Linked DNA regions of Daphnia pulex. Each later gene encodes a partner of the first gene's protein in a complex. Links are inferred from orthologs where the notes say so. Each region holds a gene or a part of one and is shown in the gene's direction. Other genes may lie near its edges. The genes, in order: probable actin-related protein 2/3 complex subunit 2, actin-related protein 2 and actin-related protein 3.

The links.
Region 2: probable actin-related protein 2/3 complex subunit 2 (region 1) and actin-related protein 2 share a complex: the UniProt entries of both Drosophila melanogaster proteins name them as parts of the arp2/3 complex. The link is inferred for Daphnia pulex from reciprocal best matches to the Drosophila melanogaster genes Arpc2 and Arp2.
Region 3: probable actin-related protein 2/3 complex subunit 2 (region 1) and actin-related protein 3 share a complex: the UniProt entries of both Drosophila melanogaster proteins name them as parts of the arp2/3 complex. The link is inferred for Daphnia pulex from reciprocal best matches to the Drosophila melanogaster genes Arpc2 and Arp3.

The regions. Positions count from the first base shown.
Region 1 is NC_060024.1:1,046,788-1,052,196, reverse strand, and holds probable actin-related protein 2/3 complex subunit 2, read left to right. Parts: upstream 1-1,971; 5' UTR 1,972-2,118; coding exon 2,119-2,192; intron 2,193-2,256; coding exon 2,257-2,350; intron 2,351-2,417; coding exon 2,418-2,517; intron 2,518-2,591; coding exon 2,592-2,726; intron 2,727-2,787; coding exon 2,788-3,060; intron 3,061-3,124; coding exon 3,125-3,354; 3' UTR 3,355-3,489; downstream 3,490-5,409. Other genes in the region: uncharacterized protein LOC124201224, read left to right, coding at 167-964, 1,036-1,161, 1,410-1,631; phenylalanine--tRNA ligase beta subunit-like, read right to left, coding at 3,490-3,641, 3,704-3,905, 3,973-4,347, 4,413-4,667, 4,736-4,915, 4,986-5,252, 5,316-5,385. UniProt on the Drosophila melanogaster protein: Functions as actin-binding component of the Arp2/3 complex which is involved in regulation of actin polymerization and together with an activating nucleation-promoting factor (NPF) mediates the formation of branched actin networks.
Region 2 is NC_060020.1:5,357,615-5,363,768, reverse strand, and holds actin-related protein 2, read left to right. Parts: upstream 1-2,322; 5' UTR 2,323-2,467; coding exon 2,468-2,515; intron 2,516-2,606; coding exon 2,607-2,717; intron 2,718-3,205; coding exon 3,206-3,285; intron 3,286-3,351; coding exon 3,352-3,487; intron 3,488-3,574; coding exon 3,575-3,784; intron 3,785-3,846; coding exon 3,847-3,996; intron 3,997-4,076; coding exon 4,077-4,355; intron 4,356-4,420; coding exon 4,421-4,588; 3' UTR 4,589-4,757; downstream 4,758-6,154. Other genes in the region: ATP synthase-coupling factor 6, mitochondrial-like, read right to left, coding at 56-204; macro domain-containing protein CT2219-like, read left to right, coding at 723-831, 889-1,128, 1,196-1,315, 1,380-1,483, 1,553-1,753; activating transcription factor 3-like, read right to left, coding at 5,415-5,625, 5,704-5,914, 6,032-6,154. UniProt on the Drosophila melanogaster protein: Functions as ATP-binding component of the Arp2/3 complex which is involved in regulation of actin polymerization and together with an activating nucleation-promoting factor (NPF) mediates the formation of branched actin networks.
Region 3 is NC_060017.1:5,489,949-5,496,143, reverse strand, and holds actin-related protein 3, read left to right. Parts: upstream 1-2,523; 5' UTR 2,524-2,686; coding exon 2,687-2,730; intron 2,731-2,838; coding exon 2,839-3,025; intron 3,026-3,213; coding exon 3,214-3,528; intron 3,529-3,599; coding exon 3,600-3,917; intron 3,918-3,998; coding exon 3,999-4,217; intron 4,218-4,342; coding exon 4,343-4,426; intron 4,427-4,515; coding exon 4,516-4,611; 3' UTR 4,612-5,736; downstream 5,737-6,195. Other genes in the region: RING finger protein B-like, read right to left, coding at 37-100, 201-299. UniProt on the Drosophila melanogaster protein: Functions as ATP-binding component of the Arp2/3 complex which is involved in regulation of actin polymerization and together with an activating nucleation-promoting factor (NPF) mediates the formation of branched actin networks.

The DNA.
Region 1 (5,409 bases):
GTCGAATAACAACACCAATGTATTGATCCCATCACATGCAAAGAAGTCAACGTCAAATAGCATAGGTAAATTAAAAACTAAGTGTAATAAGATATTTTTTAAAAACATGACATGTTATGTTACAGCTATACACCAACTTGACGCTGAAAAAGGAAAAGTAAATGATATGGAAGCAGCTGAACCTGTGGCATTACCATGTGTAACAACAGAAGACATGTTCCAGGAACCTACTACTGAAACACTCCTACACATTCCACCTGAAAAAGAACTACAATCTGAATCTGAATCTCAATTGAGAGTAGAATTTGAACCAAATGATATGGAAGTGGATGAACTGATTGGAGCACCGGGTGAAATGACAGAAGAAATGTTACAAGAAAATTCAGAACAAACAGCACGGGAGACAGAAATGGAAGGATACCTTGACCCAGCTACATACACTGATGTTATTGCGAGAGTCAAACTACCTTCCTCTTCGTGGATGTGGCAAGAAGATAAGGTTAACAAAACCCTCGTGTGTTTCAGTCATTCATTTTCTCCAGATCGCAAAATTGTAATAAAAACAATCTCAGTTGTCTCCATGAATAAGGTGGAATTGTTCCTCAATGGAAAACAAATATTTCCCCGTAATGTTAAGACTAATTTCAATGTAATTGAAGATTTATCTAACATTATTGGTGCCGTGGAAGTAAGCAATGTGTGTGATGGAATTGTTGAACTATCACTAGCGAATGTTTGTGTGACGTCCCGATGTAGCGCTGTGAAAGACGGAAAAATCATACGATCTAACCGGTGCACAGGACTTACTGAAAACAATGTTTGTTTGAATTGCAAATTCCTTAAGAAATATCTGATGACTCGCAAGAAACAATTAGGTTGTAAGGCTGAGAGGACAGGAATTCAAAAGAAAAACCAACAGCAAAAGAGAAATTTAGCAATGAGAAGAATTCTCCAACAAGGAAAAGTAATTATTTTTTTGTTATTCATAAATTAACATACGATTACTATTAATATATTTTCTATTTGTAATTTTAGTTGGTCTCTGGAATTGTGTCAAATTTAGAAAAAGAAAAGCAGACTTTGACTATTACAAACCAAAAATTGATTAAGGAACAGAAAAAGAATAACTTTGACGAAAAACTAAAGTGCCTGAGTCCTACGGTAACAATGAAATACTAATTTAATTACCTCATGACTAGACTATATGTATGCTTCCCTATTTGACCAATGTTTTCCAATTATTTCGATAGAGATATCATTCCTTATTCCAACCCTCACATTTGTGAAATCCAACTTATTCGCAAGACTATTCAAAAATAATATTCCAGACGATTGACAATGACATTCCATACTTACTAAAGACCATATCATATATCAGTTTATTAATAGATTTTTCAAATCTCTATCAGGAACAGTTAATCGTGAAAACTATGATGGACAAAGCTAAAGCAAAACCGGGAAAAGATAACTGTAAGAAAGGAATGCGTTACGACCCTTTATTTTTGATGCATTGTCTTCAAATTCGACTTAAAAGCAGCAAGACATATAGACATTTGAAAGCAAATGGAATTTTACCACTTCCGAGTCTTGAAAGCATAAGGAAGTTATTAAGCTCCACTGACTGCCGTTAATACACATTACAAGTTATAAATTGAACCAATGAAATCTATTGTTATCATCTGAAATTAATCTTAATTAGAAAATCGTCAATCAATCTGTTTAACGGATGCGCAAAGTACGCATAGCTCTGATTTGTTTACGAGGGACTTAGAAAATTTCTGTGTTGTTTCAGTGTAAGCTTCCACCCTTCCAACACCAGGTCGCGGGGCTGTCGCAGTAACCAAAGATCACAAAAAAATCAGCTGCCTTATGGGACCTTATAACACAGACAGTGGGAACCATTATATCAACAACCATGGTCTTTGTCTATGACACCATGCTGGTGCTTGCGTACCGCACCTGCTTTGTTGAAATCTGGCAAACGGCAAGTCCACTCCCTTTTCTTTTGTGGTTGTCTTGTGAGTTGTGACAGATAACATTAACATTTCCTTGTGTGCTGACTATGTTGAAATTTGTTTAATTTTGTGATACAAGTCATCACATTCACATTTCGTCGCGATGATTCTTCTGGAAATAAATAACAAAATTGTTGAAGATACCCTTACAGTTAAAATAAAAAATTCGCTTGCCGGGTAAATAATTTATATACATTTGTTTTTGAATTGCTACGAAACATATTATTCCTAATTTGTATAGAAATAAACCGGATTCCGTAAATGTAGTCATTGCTGATTTCGATGGGGTTCTTTTTCATATTGCCAACCCTGATTCTGATAAATCCAAAGTTCGAGTAAGTTATTAGAAAGAAAACCTTATAAATGAAATGTTGCAGGATTAATTAATTGTTATTTTTATAGGTTAGCATTTCACTGAAATTCTATAAAGACCTTCAGGAACATGGTGCTGATGAGTTACTAAAAAGAGAATATGGGAACCTACTATGTCAAGCTGAAGATGGTATGTGTAATATCCTATTGGTGAAAAGGTTTTATTTATCTTCTTTGTTTATTTATCCTTTTTTTTTTTTGAAGGGTACAATATTTCCCTTGTTTTGGATTTGGATAACATACCTGGCAATTGGGAAGAAATAGTAAAAAAAATTGGACTGCTGAAAAGAAATTGCTTTGCATCTGTTTTTGAGAAGTATTTTGAATTTCAGGAAAAGGGTAAAAAAATAATGAGCAAAAGCAATACTCTGAAATTCTATAATTTTTCTTTTCTAATAAGGTGAAGAAGGGCACAAGAGAGCAGTTATCAATTATCGTGATGAAGAGACATTGTACATAGAAGCTAAGGCAGACAGAGTAACAGTAGTGTTCAGCACTGTATTCCGTGATGAGGATGATATTGTGTTAGGTAAAGTTTTCTTACAAGAACTTCGCGAAGGTCGCCGAGCTTCTCACACTGCCCCACAAGTTCTTTTTTCTCACCGAGAACCTCCTCTGGAACTTCAAAGTACAAATGCTAAAATTGGTGACAATATTGGATACATTACATTTGGTATGAAATCATTTCTATTTTTACACATGGATTTCTGTAAAATTTATGTCATAATTCTTTTTAGTCTTGTTTCCACGGCATACGAACAAAAACGTCCGCGAAAATACCATTAATTTGATTCATCTCTTCCGTGACTATTTGCACTACCACATCAAATGTAGCAAAGCCTACATTCATTCACGCATGAGAGCCAAAACTTCTGATTTTTTGAAAGTATTAAACCGAGCTCGACCTGAACCAAAAACGGTGGAAAAGAAAACGATCACCGGCCGTACTTTCATTCGTACTCCATGATGTTTAAATGCACATTTTCCCTGTTTACCTAATTAGGATTTCTTCATTGATTAAATTGTAACGCTTAGTTTCACATTTTTCAATAATACACTAGCTTCTCATTAATGACAGACCACATTTATTTCTTGTAACTGCTTACAAAAACGGTTCAATATTCAACTCCAAAGCTGAACATGGAAGATTTAAATCAAAGGATGTCACAACATCAGGATGTAAGACTCCGACGATTCCGACAACAGTGCCAGCAAAAATGATTTGGGCGCATCGTCCGGGGAAAAAAGTTGCATCTGTAAATTTTATAGCTTTAGAAGAAGGTAATCAAAATATTGATGCAGTATATGAAATGAACCTTCGCATGGTTTCAGGAAGTATCCCTTGCTGCCACTCTGATCCAGTGGAACTTCCAACAATTGCATTAAGCGATCTAGTAAACCATGAACTAATTCAAATCCAGGCGACTTATTGTAATAAACGGCGCACAGATTGCGGCAATTACGAGCTCCAACATCTCGCTGACTGTCTTTCACTACCACATCGGATACTTCAAATAGCTTGAAGAACAGAAACCATATGTTTTACAACTTTTATAACTTATCTTATTAAATAAATAGGTTTTACCTTCATGGGCAAAGGCATTTTCCTATTGGCAGCGATAGTTTTGAGCAAACCTGAAAGTAAGGTCGTGCGTGCTACTTGGAACTCCAAAGTTTTCGGATTGGAAACATGAACTGCAGGAACGGAGTTCAGAGGTTTCCTCAGCTTTTCGCTTATGTCTTCCTTCGAGCACAACGAAAATGTGAGAGCCTCTGTGAAACCGGCTTGAGCAAGCTGGTCTCTCAACTGATCTGACAGCTTATTTAGGGGAAACTGTGAAGCTATGGTGTTAGTTTTCGGTAGAGTTTTGGTTATGTTATTGTATCCAAAAGCAATCGCCACATCTTCATAGACATCACACGCATGAATGATATCATGACGAGTGGGGGGTATTTCAACCTGCCAGGGAATATTTTTACATGAATTTTCAAAATCCTATAATTTAACCATTACATTTTTTTTACCGAAATGGAACCAGTTCCTTCCACGGTGGCAGTTAAACACATTCGGGTGAGTAAATTTGCGATTTCGTCAGCTTTTTCGTTGATACCCACCATTGTATTGATCTTGTCAACACTGATTTTCTCATGTCGATTTTTTAAAATCGGATAGTTGTTGATTTTTCCTTCTGGAGTCTCTACTTCGCATATCTCCACAGTAAACTGATCCCCGCAGTACCTAGAAAACATACAGACCAAAGTGTCCAAAACGATGCTAGCCTAAAAGAAGACATTTAAACAATTAAAGAAGCAATTTAAAAAATTGCATTTTCATAAAGGCAATTTACCTTGGTTAGGTCTGTAGCAGTGCATTCAATGAAAACATTTTTCGTATCTAAGGTAATTTTTGAATGTTCACCATTGATAATAGGTGGCATAGAAAGAACTACTCCATTACTGTCCTTGATAACAGGATAGACTGAACTATCGCGTATAATTGGTAAATAGTGGCGAAGATGGCTATCAGTCTGAATTAGTAAAAAATGATTATCTTTAATTTTTAAAAGCATAAAATGACACAATTGATAGATAGATTACTGAATACAAGTCCATTAACTGAGAAGCAGTAAACTCTTTACTCTGGCTCAATGGCTTGAACTTAATTGAATCAGGTGGAAGTGCTTCATAGAAAAATGGACCATGGACTGTATCCAAATCATGAGTTCCAATTGCAACAAGACTACGTTTCCTGCACAAGTTTTGATGTAGTTTATCCTGAAGATCTATGAAGCTACTGAAAGTGTTTTGGTCAAAGTGGATGTTTCTAAGAACTGCTGCAACAGCATGTGGTCTTATTGATGCAGTCTGTAATAAAAAATAGTATTGAATTGAAATAATAATTATGACAAATTTCTTATGACGACTCACCGAAGGCTTGATAATTAATCTTTGAGGAACTGTCACTGGTGGAACAACTTTAAAAGCTGGAAATTGCTTTCTAATTGAAATAATAAAAAGTGGT
Region 2 (6,154 bases), on another chromosome or scaffold:
AAAGAACACCAATAATTAACAGATGGTAACAGAAATGATAAAATCTAATACATACTTGCTCTTGACTTTGTACTCATTCAGTTTGTCCAAAAAGAGTTTCTGAATGGGATCAACTGCTTTATTAGCAACAACTGCAGATATTCCAAACTGCCTCTGCAGGACTGTTCCTTGACGAACAGCTAGCCGGGTTCGAGTCGCAAACATGTTGATGACCTGAGAGTATAGATCATTTAGCCTTCACAAATATTTGGAAACTACAAACAGATCTCACAACAAATTAATCGGTAATGCAATACAAAGTTTAACAAGAAAGGAGACGCACAGTAAAATATATTTACCTATGCAAGTTGCTCACAGATGCAATCCAAAATGTCTTCCGTCGTCTACACTCAGTCTACTTTTCTCATTCACGAAAATGGCAGGATAGCCGCTTACCAATAAATCCCTAAACACTCAAAGAAAACGGAAAGGAAATATTTTAAGGAACATACCAGATGCAACATGAAAATTTTCCAAATACTTTACATATTAAAACTTTGAATTATCAATGAATTACATAATCTATATATTAATGTAATTTAAAATAAATTATGACGATTTGCAATTGTTTACCTTTAGATTTAGGCAATCACCAGCAGCCGACTAGCCGATCAGTACTAACAGCTGACTAACACACACCTAAAAATCGCCTGAAAATCGCTTCGTACATAACAACGTAGTGTATGTATTTCATTCAAACGATTGGTAAATATTTAATACCGAAGGGATATTTCAATAAATCAATTTCCATTATGGCGAAAGAATTCAAAAATTGGCAGGAAGCCAAAGGTATAATTAGAATTTGAAGAAGGCTGTGGTTGCTTTATCATGTAATTACATTCTTTACAGAGTACTTTGAAAAAAGCACTGCAACTCGAAATCAACATTGTGTTTCAGTGAAAGAGATTCCAACTTGGGAAGAGACATCAAAAGAAATTCCCCATTCTACATCAGATGGAAACAATACTGATTTAAAACCCAATTTATCAATCAATTCTAAAGTTTCTCTTTGGAAAGGGGATATAACTCAACTAGAAGTTGGAGCGATTGTCAATGCAGCCAATAGCAGGTTGGCTGGTGGTGGTGGAGGTGAAATTTAATAAAGAATATTGAAAATTTCTAAATTGTTTATCAATGTTTTGTGTTACCTCAACAGTTGATGGAGCAATTCATAAAGCAGCTGGTCCTTATCTTCTTGAAGAATGTCAATCTATCAAAGGTGGTTGTCAAACAGGGGATGCTAAACTGACAGGAGGATACAAACTACCTGCAAAGTGTAAATTTTTCTCTAGAAAAAGTATGAATGATATCCTGTTTCTATACAGTATTTATGTTTCCAGATGTGATTCAGACTGTTGGACCTATGGACCAAGACTCTAACTTGCTGTCTGATTGTTATTCTAATAGTCTTAAACTTGCGAATAAAAATGAACTAAAAACAATAGTAAGTCATGATTTTACATTCTAGTACCTTTTAGGGATTCCATTTCTTCATCTTCAAAATTTTAATTAGGTATTTCCCTGCATTTCAACTGGGGTTTATGGTTACCCCAATAGAGATGCAGCTGCAGTAGCATTGTTAACAACAAGAAAATTTCTTGAAAGTGATGAATCAACATTGGAAAGAGTGATATTCTGTGTGTTTTTAGATAAAGATCTAAAAGTATATCAAGAATTGCTACCTAAATATTTTTCAGTAAAGGCTGTTTTGTGATCTGATTTGATAACATGAAAAATTTTGAAAATTTGGTAATGTACAACATGTGTACAGCATGAACAGGCTTGGAATAAAAGAATGGCAAAAAATCTTTGAAATATCCTTTTTAAATTTGAATGCATCATCAAGTTCTTGCTTTGCCAAGGAATTTACTCAATTTAGTTTCCTCAGCCTTCCTATGATTTTGGCCAGTTTGGTTTCATGTTCTTTAAAGAAGATGTTCTAGTGTTGCATGCTTCAATGGATAATATTCAGTGTTGGTAAGAGTATTTGACTTTAGTATGCATATACAATTCATTCGTTTAATTTATTTAATTCTTTTTTGTCTGTTATTGAACATTTTGAATTTCCCGGTTGATTAACGGCGTTGCCAAAATTCTTCAGATAAATCATTGCATCAAAATAATGTAGTTCACAAATTAATTTAAAATCTATACTTTACAATTTCAAAATTTTTTTTAAGAAACTTTATCTCAAATATTTTATAACGATTCGAGATAGTCATTTAAAACCAGAGTTAACTGATTAACCAGCTGGATTAACCAATGATGTTAAGCAATCGGTTGCCGTGGCAACTCCCAACCCCCATGAGCTGCTATCGTCTGGCTCCGACGGGAAGTAGTTTTGGTTTTAGGGCGCTGTCAAATTGTGTGTCGTATTGTTCACGAATTGAGATTATCAATATAAAATCAACTATTAACAAACTTTGAGATGGATAGTCAAGGAAGAAAAGTATTAGTTTGTGATAATGGAACAGGGGTGAGTTATTTTTTTCTTTTGAAATATTTATTAATGTTGTTTTGCCGGCCATGTAGCAAACTAGCAACTCACCTTTATCAATGTTGGATAGTTTGTCAAAGTTGGATATGCAGGATCAAACTTTCCAGCACATATCTTCCCATCTTTGGTTGGACGACCTATCATTCGCGCTGCCAACAAAATTGGTGACATCGAAGTGAAGGTATGATAAAATTCTTTTCTTTCAAGCAGTTTCGATCTTACTGTCCATTTCCATGGTTTCGACATCACACAAAACTTTCTAGGGTTATCAAATTAAGGTGACATTCCAAGGATAAGTACAGAGGGAATCTCACATGTTTTGCATTTAAAAAAATCTGTGTCATGTTCTTATAACACAGATATAGTTTAAAAACCTATAAAGTCATAACAGTGATAGTAAAAAACCAACTTGTGCCGTCCTATAACATGAATGTCTTTGTGGAGTTTTGATTTTGATTGTAAAAAAAGGTTTTGTTATTTTCTAATGAACTGAATCATGATTTTGGCTTAATTGCTTGCCTTTCAATCAGGGATTTGCTCACATATCTGTAAGTATTGAGCACTTTATGGTGTGATATTGTTTGTTGGAATTTTGCATTGATGTTTAGTTGCATGTAACTTAGTGTTCTTTTTAATTGAATCTAAATTAATGAAGACTTTTATCAACAGGATTTAATGGTCGGAGATGACGCGAGTAAACTTCGCTCAATGCTTGAAGTGAACTACCCTATGGAAAACGGAATCGTTAGGTATATATCGATACATTTATTAAATTTGAACTGGTGTTTATAAATCTGCTTGTTTGTGTTCCTTAGGAATTGGGAAGACATGTGTCATGTGTGGGATTACACTTTTGGCCCTGAGAAAATGAACATTGACCCTCACCAATGTAAGGTCTTGCTAACAGAGCCTCCGATGAACCCTTTGAAGAATCGCGAGAAAATGATTGAGGTAAATGTTTTTAATTGTCACCATGTTTCAATGGTGGTGGTGGAAATGGGTGTGTAAAAATTCGAATCTTTGTGCCGTTTGTTACAGGTCATGTTCGAAAAATATGGATTTGCCGGAACCTACGTGGCCATCCAAGCAGTTCTAACACTTTACGCACAGGGTCTGCTGACGGGAGTTGTTGTCGATTCTGGAGACGGTGTCACTCACATTTGTCCTGTGTACGAAGGGTTTGCAATGCCTCACTTAACCAGACGTCTTGACATTGCCGGAAGAGATATTACCCGATATCTCATCAAGGTAGAATCAATGATCCATCCCGCAATAGTTTGGCATGAATTCAGTAATATTCCTCTTTATAGCTCTTGCTGCTGAGAGGCTACGCATTCAATCATACGGCAGACTTTGAAACTGTTCGCCAGTTGAAAGAAAAACTTTGTTATATTGGCTATAACATTGAAACGGAACAAAAACTGGCTCTCGAAACAACCGTTTTAGTCGAATCATACACAGTAAGTTTCCCTTTATTCTACCTTCGAGTCGCTGTGGCCATGGCATATTTAAAAACCAAAAAATTCGATTTCTAAAAAAGCTTCCAGATGGGCGCGTCATCAAAGTGGGTGGTGAACGGTTCGAAGCCCCTGAAGCGCTTTTCCAGCCTCACTTGATCAACGTTGAAGGGTCAGGAATCGCCGAGCTAGTCTTCTCGACTATCCAAGCGGCCGACATCGATGTCCGCCCGTCGCTATACAAACACATCGTCCTTTCAGGCGGTTCAACCATGTATCCCGGACTTCCGTCTAGGCTCGAACGGGAAATCAAACAGCTGTACCTTGAACGAGTTCTTAAAGGCGACACGGAGAAACTTACGGTACAACGATGAAATTTTGTGTTCTAGACGTACATTTTACTTACTACTCTTTTCTTGGCACGCAGAAATTCAAAATTCGTATTGAAGATCCTCCTCGCCGTAAAGACATGGTTTTCATTGGTGGTGCCGTATTGGCCGATGTCATGAAAGACAAAGAATCTTTCTGGATGTCGAGGGAAGAGTACAATGAGCGTGGCATCCGCGTGCTGGACAAACTGGTCAACCGCTCCTAACGCGCAATTTTAAACGCTCGTTCCTCTTTTCCGATTCCCATCGAAGGTCATGTTATTACTAATCAGATGTCCATTTTTTTTTTTCATGTTGCTGGGTTCACATTCCCGCCCTCCCTAATTTTTGTTGACCCCCAAATTCTGGCTGAATAAACAAAAATAGCCTCTGTAATTATAGCAACTAATCAGGCGAGAGAAGAAAACTCAAGCAATTTTATTATTGCACATAGGGGGAAAGTATGGCCGTGGTAGCAGATAATTTCAGAGAGGAGGACATATTTAACATTCCCAAGGCAACAACAGGAGAAAGAAAAAAAAACGAAGGGAAATACCTTTTTAAAAGGTTACACTGGGCACGACCATGAAGCCATAGTTTAAAATGGTTAACAACGTCATTATTTAAAAAAAAAAAACAGCCGCAAGAAATGCACACAAGGATATGTGAATTCTCGGATAAGGCACAGGCGTAGTATAGGAGAATGAATGTAGTTTTTTTTTTCCGTTGACTTCTTGCATTTTCTTTAACACAAAGAAGATAAGAAGGCGGCCATGACTACGATTTGACATTTAAACAACAATTCTTTTCTTATTTTTTTCCGAAGCTCTACCTTTTAGTCTTTGCGCAGGGCGATGAGAAGGAGAACAAACAATTTGAAACGGATAAATACATGTACGTCATGAAATCATTTAGTTGGTCCCGATTTGTTGTCGTTTGACACCGAAAAAGGAGAAACATACAGAAAAGAGGCAGTAGATAATAGTATACAAAAAAGGATGGCACTTGGTAGTAAATTTATAGGTGGTTTGCGCCTGTCTTATATGATGTTATTTACCGGTAATTCTGCCCAGAGAGGTTATTATCTCCGCCGCCGTAAGAGCCCCGCTGCTGGATCAAATTTACTTGACTGTTGACGTACGACGGAGGGCCTTCGCCGCTGTTGTTGTTGTAATTACCGGCAGACGTTTCGGAAGTGACGTCATAAGTTGACGAATGGTGATGATGATGATTGCCGGCCATGGCGGCAGATTCAGAACTGGATCTGAGCATTCCAAATTAAATTTCGGTAGATTATTTCAACTGGTTTTCACAATCAAATCAGGAGGCATTCTTTGTGTACCTGTTACAGTCGTACATCGGTCCATAATTGGAAGAGGATAGGCCGCCCGACATGACGTAAGCCTGATCCGAAGGAACAACAACCTGATGATCGAACGAGACAACTGATTCACCACCTCGAGTTCCTACCTGTGAAGCGGTACCAGTGCCGGGATCGTGTTGTATGAAGTCGGAAGAACAACTGGTTGGAGTTGGACGGTGATTTCCGGCGGCTAAATTGAAATGAGCAACAACAAGACAGAAAAAAAAAAAAACAGTTGAAAAACCAAATAAGAACCACGTACGATAGACGACGGCAAAAGAAAAAGTTTAGACTGGGTCAAACTCACCTGTTTTTAAACAAGTGGGCGAGTGCATGGCCAGCACATCCATCAAACGGCGCTTTTCCGCCTCCAGCCTTTGGATTTCTGAACGAAAGTTAACGTTTTGATCCTCGAGCGCGTCCGATTCCT
Region 3 (6,195 bases), on another chromosome or scaffold:
GAGAAAATGTTATTTGAGCAGAGACAATGCTCTTACCGAGATCCATCACCCAGAAATCTTTGAGGGGGATATTGGAAGAGCGTCCGCCGAGTAAATAAACCTGATCGAAAATACAAGTGAGAAAAAAGGAAAATAAATAAAAAAAGATTTGACGGGGGAATCGATGAAACTTGGTCAAGAAATGTCTCTTTTATATATACCACTCGTCTCTGGGGATCAACACAGCTTGCGTGTTTGAAGCGTGTCCGAGGTACGGGACCCGTTTCGTTTTTCGTCGAATGCACTACCGGGCTCCACATTTTTGTTATCCTCCTTTTTTTCGAAAAGCTGCTCGTTATAGCTATTTGAAACTAGAAATAGAACGATATGACTGACTATAGCATTTTACAGTTTAACATTCAGTTGTCAATCATCCCAACATACCTGACAGAATCGCTGATGATTAAGAGACAGACGCGAGCGACGTTCAAGCGGTTGAAGCTTGTTATGAAAACTGAAGAAGCAGCTTTCTGGTTGTCTCCTTTCCTGTGTGCTACTATTGAAAGCGTCGTGGGACTATGATGCGCGCGCAGAGGCTTTTCCCCCCTTCCAACACGGCCCCTAGCCCCACGGCTCGTCGTCCCCGATTCCCTCCATCATCCATTTTTGGTTTTTCTTTCTCCGTGTGCTGCTTCCAGGAGTTACGTTGGCTTGGACTAACGTGAGCACGCGCGCCAAAGTCTCAGCTAAGTATTGATCGGATTGATGAGACTAGACGTTGCATATTCAAACGTCAAGTGATGACTATCTCATGCTCGGACCGGAATAGGATCTTGCTATTCGATTACGAGCAATTCAATCAGACCCGAAATTTACTTACTGAGAATTTTCTGAAAGGGCCTCCGGCCATGGAAGAAGCTACGCATATAGTTATGCAAGTGAATGTTGTGATGTTTTTCAATAATCAACTCTATTTATAAAGAGATTTATATAGTATACAGGTATCAGTGTAGTACGTAAAAATAGAGCACCGACGACGAGTCCATAAAAGTGCTAAAAGTCTGTAAAGAAAAATTGGCGATCGTTACATTTGATCCTACAGGAAGCAAACCGTTTTCAATATACCCGTGTTCTTATAAGCTACTATTTTTGTAGCGCGTTGCCCAGCGATATTTATTACGTGATATTGACGGGCCCTGAATGAGGATTTCTATTTCCTGTCGTTGGCAGAAGAGAACGTTATTAGCTCTCTTTGGTGTAGCTAAGCTGAGTGAACTAAAACTCGATCCCAGTCGAGTATAAAGTTGACTTTTAAAAGAAAAATCGTCACGTCGTTGCTGTGTGGTTCCTTCCGCCGCTTTTGCTTCATGGAGTTTTTAAAAAGAAACTACTTGAGAGAGATATATGCGGTGTAGGGCGAATGGACAAAGGGAAAGTTTCAAGTATTCTTGTACAACTTCATTAGAATCGGGAAATGTCAGTATAGCTTATGGGATTAAATATGCCAACTTGCTGAAATTTGTCGTCACTTTGGCTGGTAATTTTAACGTACTTAACAGTTTGCAAGATTATGTCACCCCCCAAAAAAGCAATTGCTGTGTGTGAGTAATATGCTGATAGAGCGATAGATACGAAAGTGAGGGCTAAAATTCAAAAGCCATTAGGATGCGGTGTGACGCAGAGTCAACATTTTCCTTTAAGATAAAGAAATGAGAATATTAGCGATATAAGTTTTTCTTTTTAGTGTCAATATTCTCATAGAACATGACTGTCTCAAATTTAGTTGGAATGCCGTGTCATGCAGGAAAAGATGAGAATGTTCATTGTACAAACACAATGGCCGTACTGAAATGAAATGCTCCCCTGTAGATTTACCGTCTCGGTTTAAATAGCCTGTGGCGAGTTTTGCGCGTGTATAGAATGGTGAGTTTGACTTGCAGACCGAATCAGAATCCCCAGTTACTCGTTTACTGAACCGTTGGTTGCCACGAAAGCCCCATCCAATAAAATCTAATTGGTTTCAAGGGCAGGAAGCAAAAGATGGTAGGAAAGAAAATGAAAAGGAAACAACCCTTTTTTTTTTTAAATTGAAAATTCAAACTTGATTGCTAGACCAAAGATGAAAGAGCAGGGGTATCTGGTATCTTCGACTCGTGAGGATAGGGTCCGGATTTCCGGATAAATTTTTTTCTGTTTCTCATCAAGACCATAAATTTTTTTTATTGTTCCTTAAAATATCTTTTTTTTATGACGAAAACTTCTTTTTACGTCACATATGGTTGCCTTCTGATTTCACAAAAGTTCAATCAGATTCATTCAAATCACGCTAGATGTCTTCAAAATCTGGCGCAATTCAATTTTACCAATCGTTATGGGATGTTTTACTTCTTTAACGTCCACCGTTTATTAACCATTGGAATAACTGAACTATGGCCTTATCTCCGCATATGATAAATAAGATAACCTTACCATGTTTGTCTCATTAAAAAAAAAGAAAAAAAATCCTTATCAGATTGTCAGAGGAAGTTCTGTTGCCACCTGGTGGCCGTAGTCTGAAACTGCCAGGGGTGGGGATTGAACACTCATCGCTCTAGACGCTGCCGGTGTTTCGAATTAAGCTAATTTCGTTTACAATTTCTGTGTCTAATCACAATAAGGATTAAATCAGAGAAATAGTGTTAAAGGTTTTAAACAATAATTGTGTGAAATGACCGGAAGATTACCGGCTTGTGTGATTGACATCGGAACAGGGTAAGGATATGCTTTGGTCTGGTCTGTCTGACAGACTGCAATCTCATCTCAGTGTGCCTATTCTGGAAAGGTTGTTAACACTTCTAATAAATTTTTGTTTTTTTTTAGTTATTCCAAGCTTGGTTATGCTGGCAATAAAGAGCCTCAATACATTATACCTTCAGCCATTGCCATTAAAGAAACAGCAAAGGTTGGTGACCAAGCTTCGAGAAGGTTAGGAAAGGGAATCGAAGATCTTGACTTCTTTATTGGTGACGAAGCCCTCGAAGCAGGAAATGGGGGATATTCAGTCAAAGTATGACTTTTTTTCATTCATAACTTAAATTATCTTATTTTTAAGTAAGTTTTAATGCAAATGACAGTTTGTTTACATGATTGGTAACAAACACCTTACTTATGAGATTTGTCAATTCAGCTATTTTTCAAGTGGAAATAGTTATTATTGAAAACAGATCATTCATTTTGGTTTAATTACCATTGCAGTATCCTGTACGTCATGGGATTGTTGAAGATTGGGACCTTATGGAGCGGTTCTTAGAACAGAGCATATTCAAATATCTGCGAGCAGAACCAGAAGACCACCATTTCTTGCTAACAGAACCCCCTTTAAACACCCCGGAAAACAGGGAGTACACAGCAGAGATCATGTTTGAATCTTTCAACGTTCCCGGTCTGTACATAGCTGTTCAAGCAGTCCTTGCTCTGGCTGCCTCTTGGACCTCAAGGCAGTTGGGTGAAAGAACCTTGACTGGTATTGTGATTGATAGTGGTGATGGTGTTACCCATGTGATCCCAGTGGTAACTGATATTATTATAAATAATTTGCTTTTCATTTGGGCGCTTTCTAATTGTTGTCTTGATTTTTGTAGGCTGAAGGATATGTTATTGGAAGTTGCATAAAGCACATCCCAATTGCAGGTCGCAACATAACCTATTTCATTCAATCCCTTCTCCGTGAAAGAGAAATTGGCATTCCACCTGAGCAATCGCTCGAGACAGCCAAGGCTGTTAAAGAGCGCTACTGTTACATTTGTCCTGATATTGCAAAAGAATTTGCCAAGTACGATGCTGAGCCCAATAAATGGATGCAGAAATTCGAAGGCCTCAATTCCATCACCAAGCAGCCGTTTGGCGTTGATGTTGGCTATGAGCGTTTCTTAGGACCCGAGATTTTCTTTCACCCAGAGGTAGATTTTATTCATTTTCGTCTGCATTTTGCATTGGCTATTGTAGACCGAATCATGTTTTCATTCATTTTGATATTGCAGTTTGCCAACCCCGATTTCACGACCCCTATATCAGAAGTTGTTGACACAGTCATTCAAAACTGCCCTATTGATGTGAGGAGGCCATTGTACAAGAACATCGTATTGTCGGGTGGATCGACCATGTTTAAGGATTTTGGTCGGCGGTTGCAACGAGATATCAAGCGTGTTAGCGACGCTCGGCTCAAAATCAGTGAACAGCTGAGTGGAGGCAAACTGACGGTGAGTTTCCACTTGTATTTAAGAGTTGTGGTCGAATGGGTTGGCTGAACGGGATACGCGACGGTTCCCACATCCAGGAACTGGCGTAATAGTTGTAATTGAATATTTTTGTTCTTGGTTTACAGCCGAAACCTATTGACGTTCAAGTGGTATCGCACCACATGCAACGCTATGCGGTATGGTTCGGTGGAAGTCTACTTGCTTCAACGGTATGTGATAGCGATAAATTACGTAAGAAAGGAAATTAACTGACTTATCTTTTTTTTTTTTTTTTTGGCTTTCTCTCCCCGGTTTGCAGCCTGAATTTTATCAAGTGTGTCACACTAAAGCTGCGTATGAGGAGTACGGGCCGAGCATTTGTAGGCACAATCCAGTGTTTGGTACTATGACATAATTACCTGTAGAACAAAAACAAAAATCAAGGTACAGCGCGCAAAAAGGAAGCGCCATAAGGCATCGATCAGATCGAGGTTTCCTCTGTAATAATTCAACAATGTGTAAGGAGGGCCGTATCAAATGTAATTATCATTTTCACAGAGAGGAAAGTGAACAAGTTCTTTTCCGTTTATTTTTCTCCGTTTATCCTTCCTCATTTGACCCTCAATTTTTTTTTCCTACTAGCATTTGTTTTTGAATCCAGTCCGCTGTTTTTCCTGACACCATGCCTACCCCGTTTCCTCCCTCTCCCAAGTTGACTTGTCTCCCCCCCCCCCCTTTTACTCGAGAGAAATGATGGTGCTTGTTTGTTTTCCTCTTCCTTCTGGTCTTACTTTTCCTTTTTTTTTTTCCTTTTTCTACATACTTTCCAATTTTAAGTTCATGGGTGATTTAGGGTGAGCAACTTGAGTTGATTGGTAGAACCGGATTTGTTCAAGTGCCTGTTGTTTGTTGGCTTTTCTACCATTTTCCGTCTCTACTAAAAAAGAAAAGAAAGATGTTTTTCTTTCTTTGCGCCGTCGTGGTGTCTATTTGCCGAAATAATCAACTGGGTTCATTATCATCCTTAATTTTATTAAGTGATTCAGCATATACCGAATAATTGGATGACAGTCATTCCTTGTCTATTTGTCGTCGAGGCCAAGTGTGTGGTTGGGTGGAAGCGTTCGCTGTTGCAAATGAAGAAATCAATTCGATGCAAATGCAATCAAGTCGTTGAGAGCTAAATAGTAGTCTTCAATAGCCCCTTAAAGGTGATATTGGGGCGTAATGCAAAGTAACCTGTCCGATATGAATGACCCTAACGTATTTGATGTTCATACACGAAACCCTGCTATCCCTGATCACTCTATAACCACTTAATAACACACTACAGTCGTTATTTGTTGCATCAAAGACGCAATCAAACAGCTTTCCGTTCGCTCATCCGCAATCAGTCCGCCGTTCACCACCCCTTTTCTTCCAGTTCTATCGCTCCCTCCCCCTCTCTCATTATTTGAAATTGTTACATGAAGAAGAAAAAAAAAATTGAATTCTTGTCACTGGCATGTCATGGATTTAGATAATACATTACCCGAATACATTCTGTTTGGCTATATGTATATATATTTCGGTTGCGTGAATGTCTCTATAGACCACATATCGATGCACACATACTTCCTCCGCCATTATTATGTAAAAATCTTTTTTTAGTTTTATCGAGAAACGAAAATGTTGAGCATCGCGTGTGAGTCGTTGGGATTTGACGTCATAGAAGCTCGGCAGCTTTGTATGCTGATGGCATTGATTGCCGAAGGTGGTTTTTCTACACATGTGAAATTGTCTTTCGTGGAATGTTTTGGCTAAAGGGACGAGTTTTTCGACGGTTGGAATTCCAAACCAGATGACGTGATACCAGATCGTTATCTTTCCCTTTTCCCCCCTTATACTGCCTCCTCCAAAGGACAATTTGTTATTCGAAAAATACCAAATAACTGCCGAATGCCGATCCATTGCTGGTGTTAAGCAGTTTTGCATTCATAATGAGCTCGGAAAAGAAACG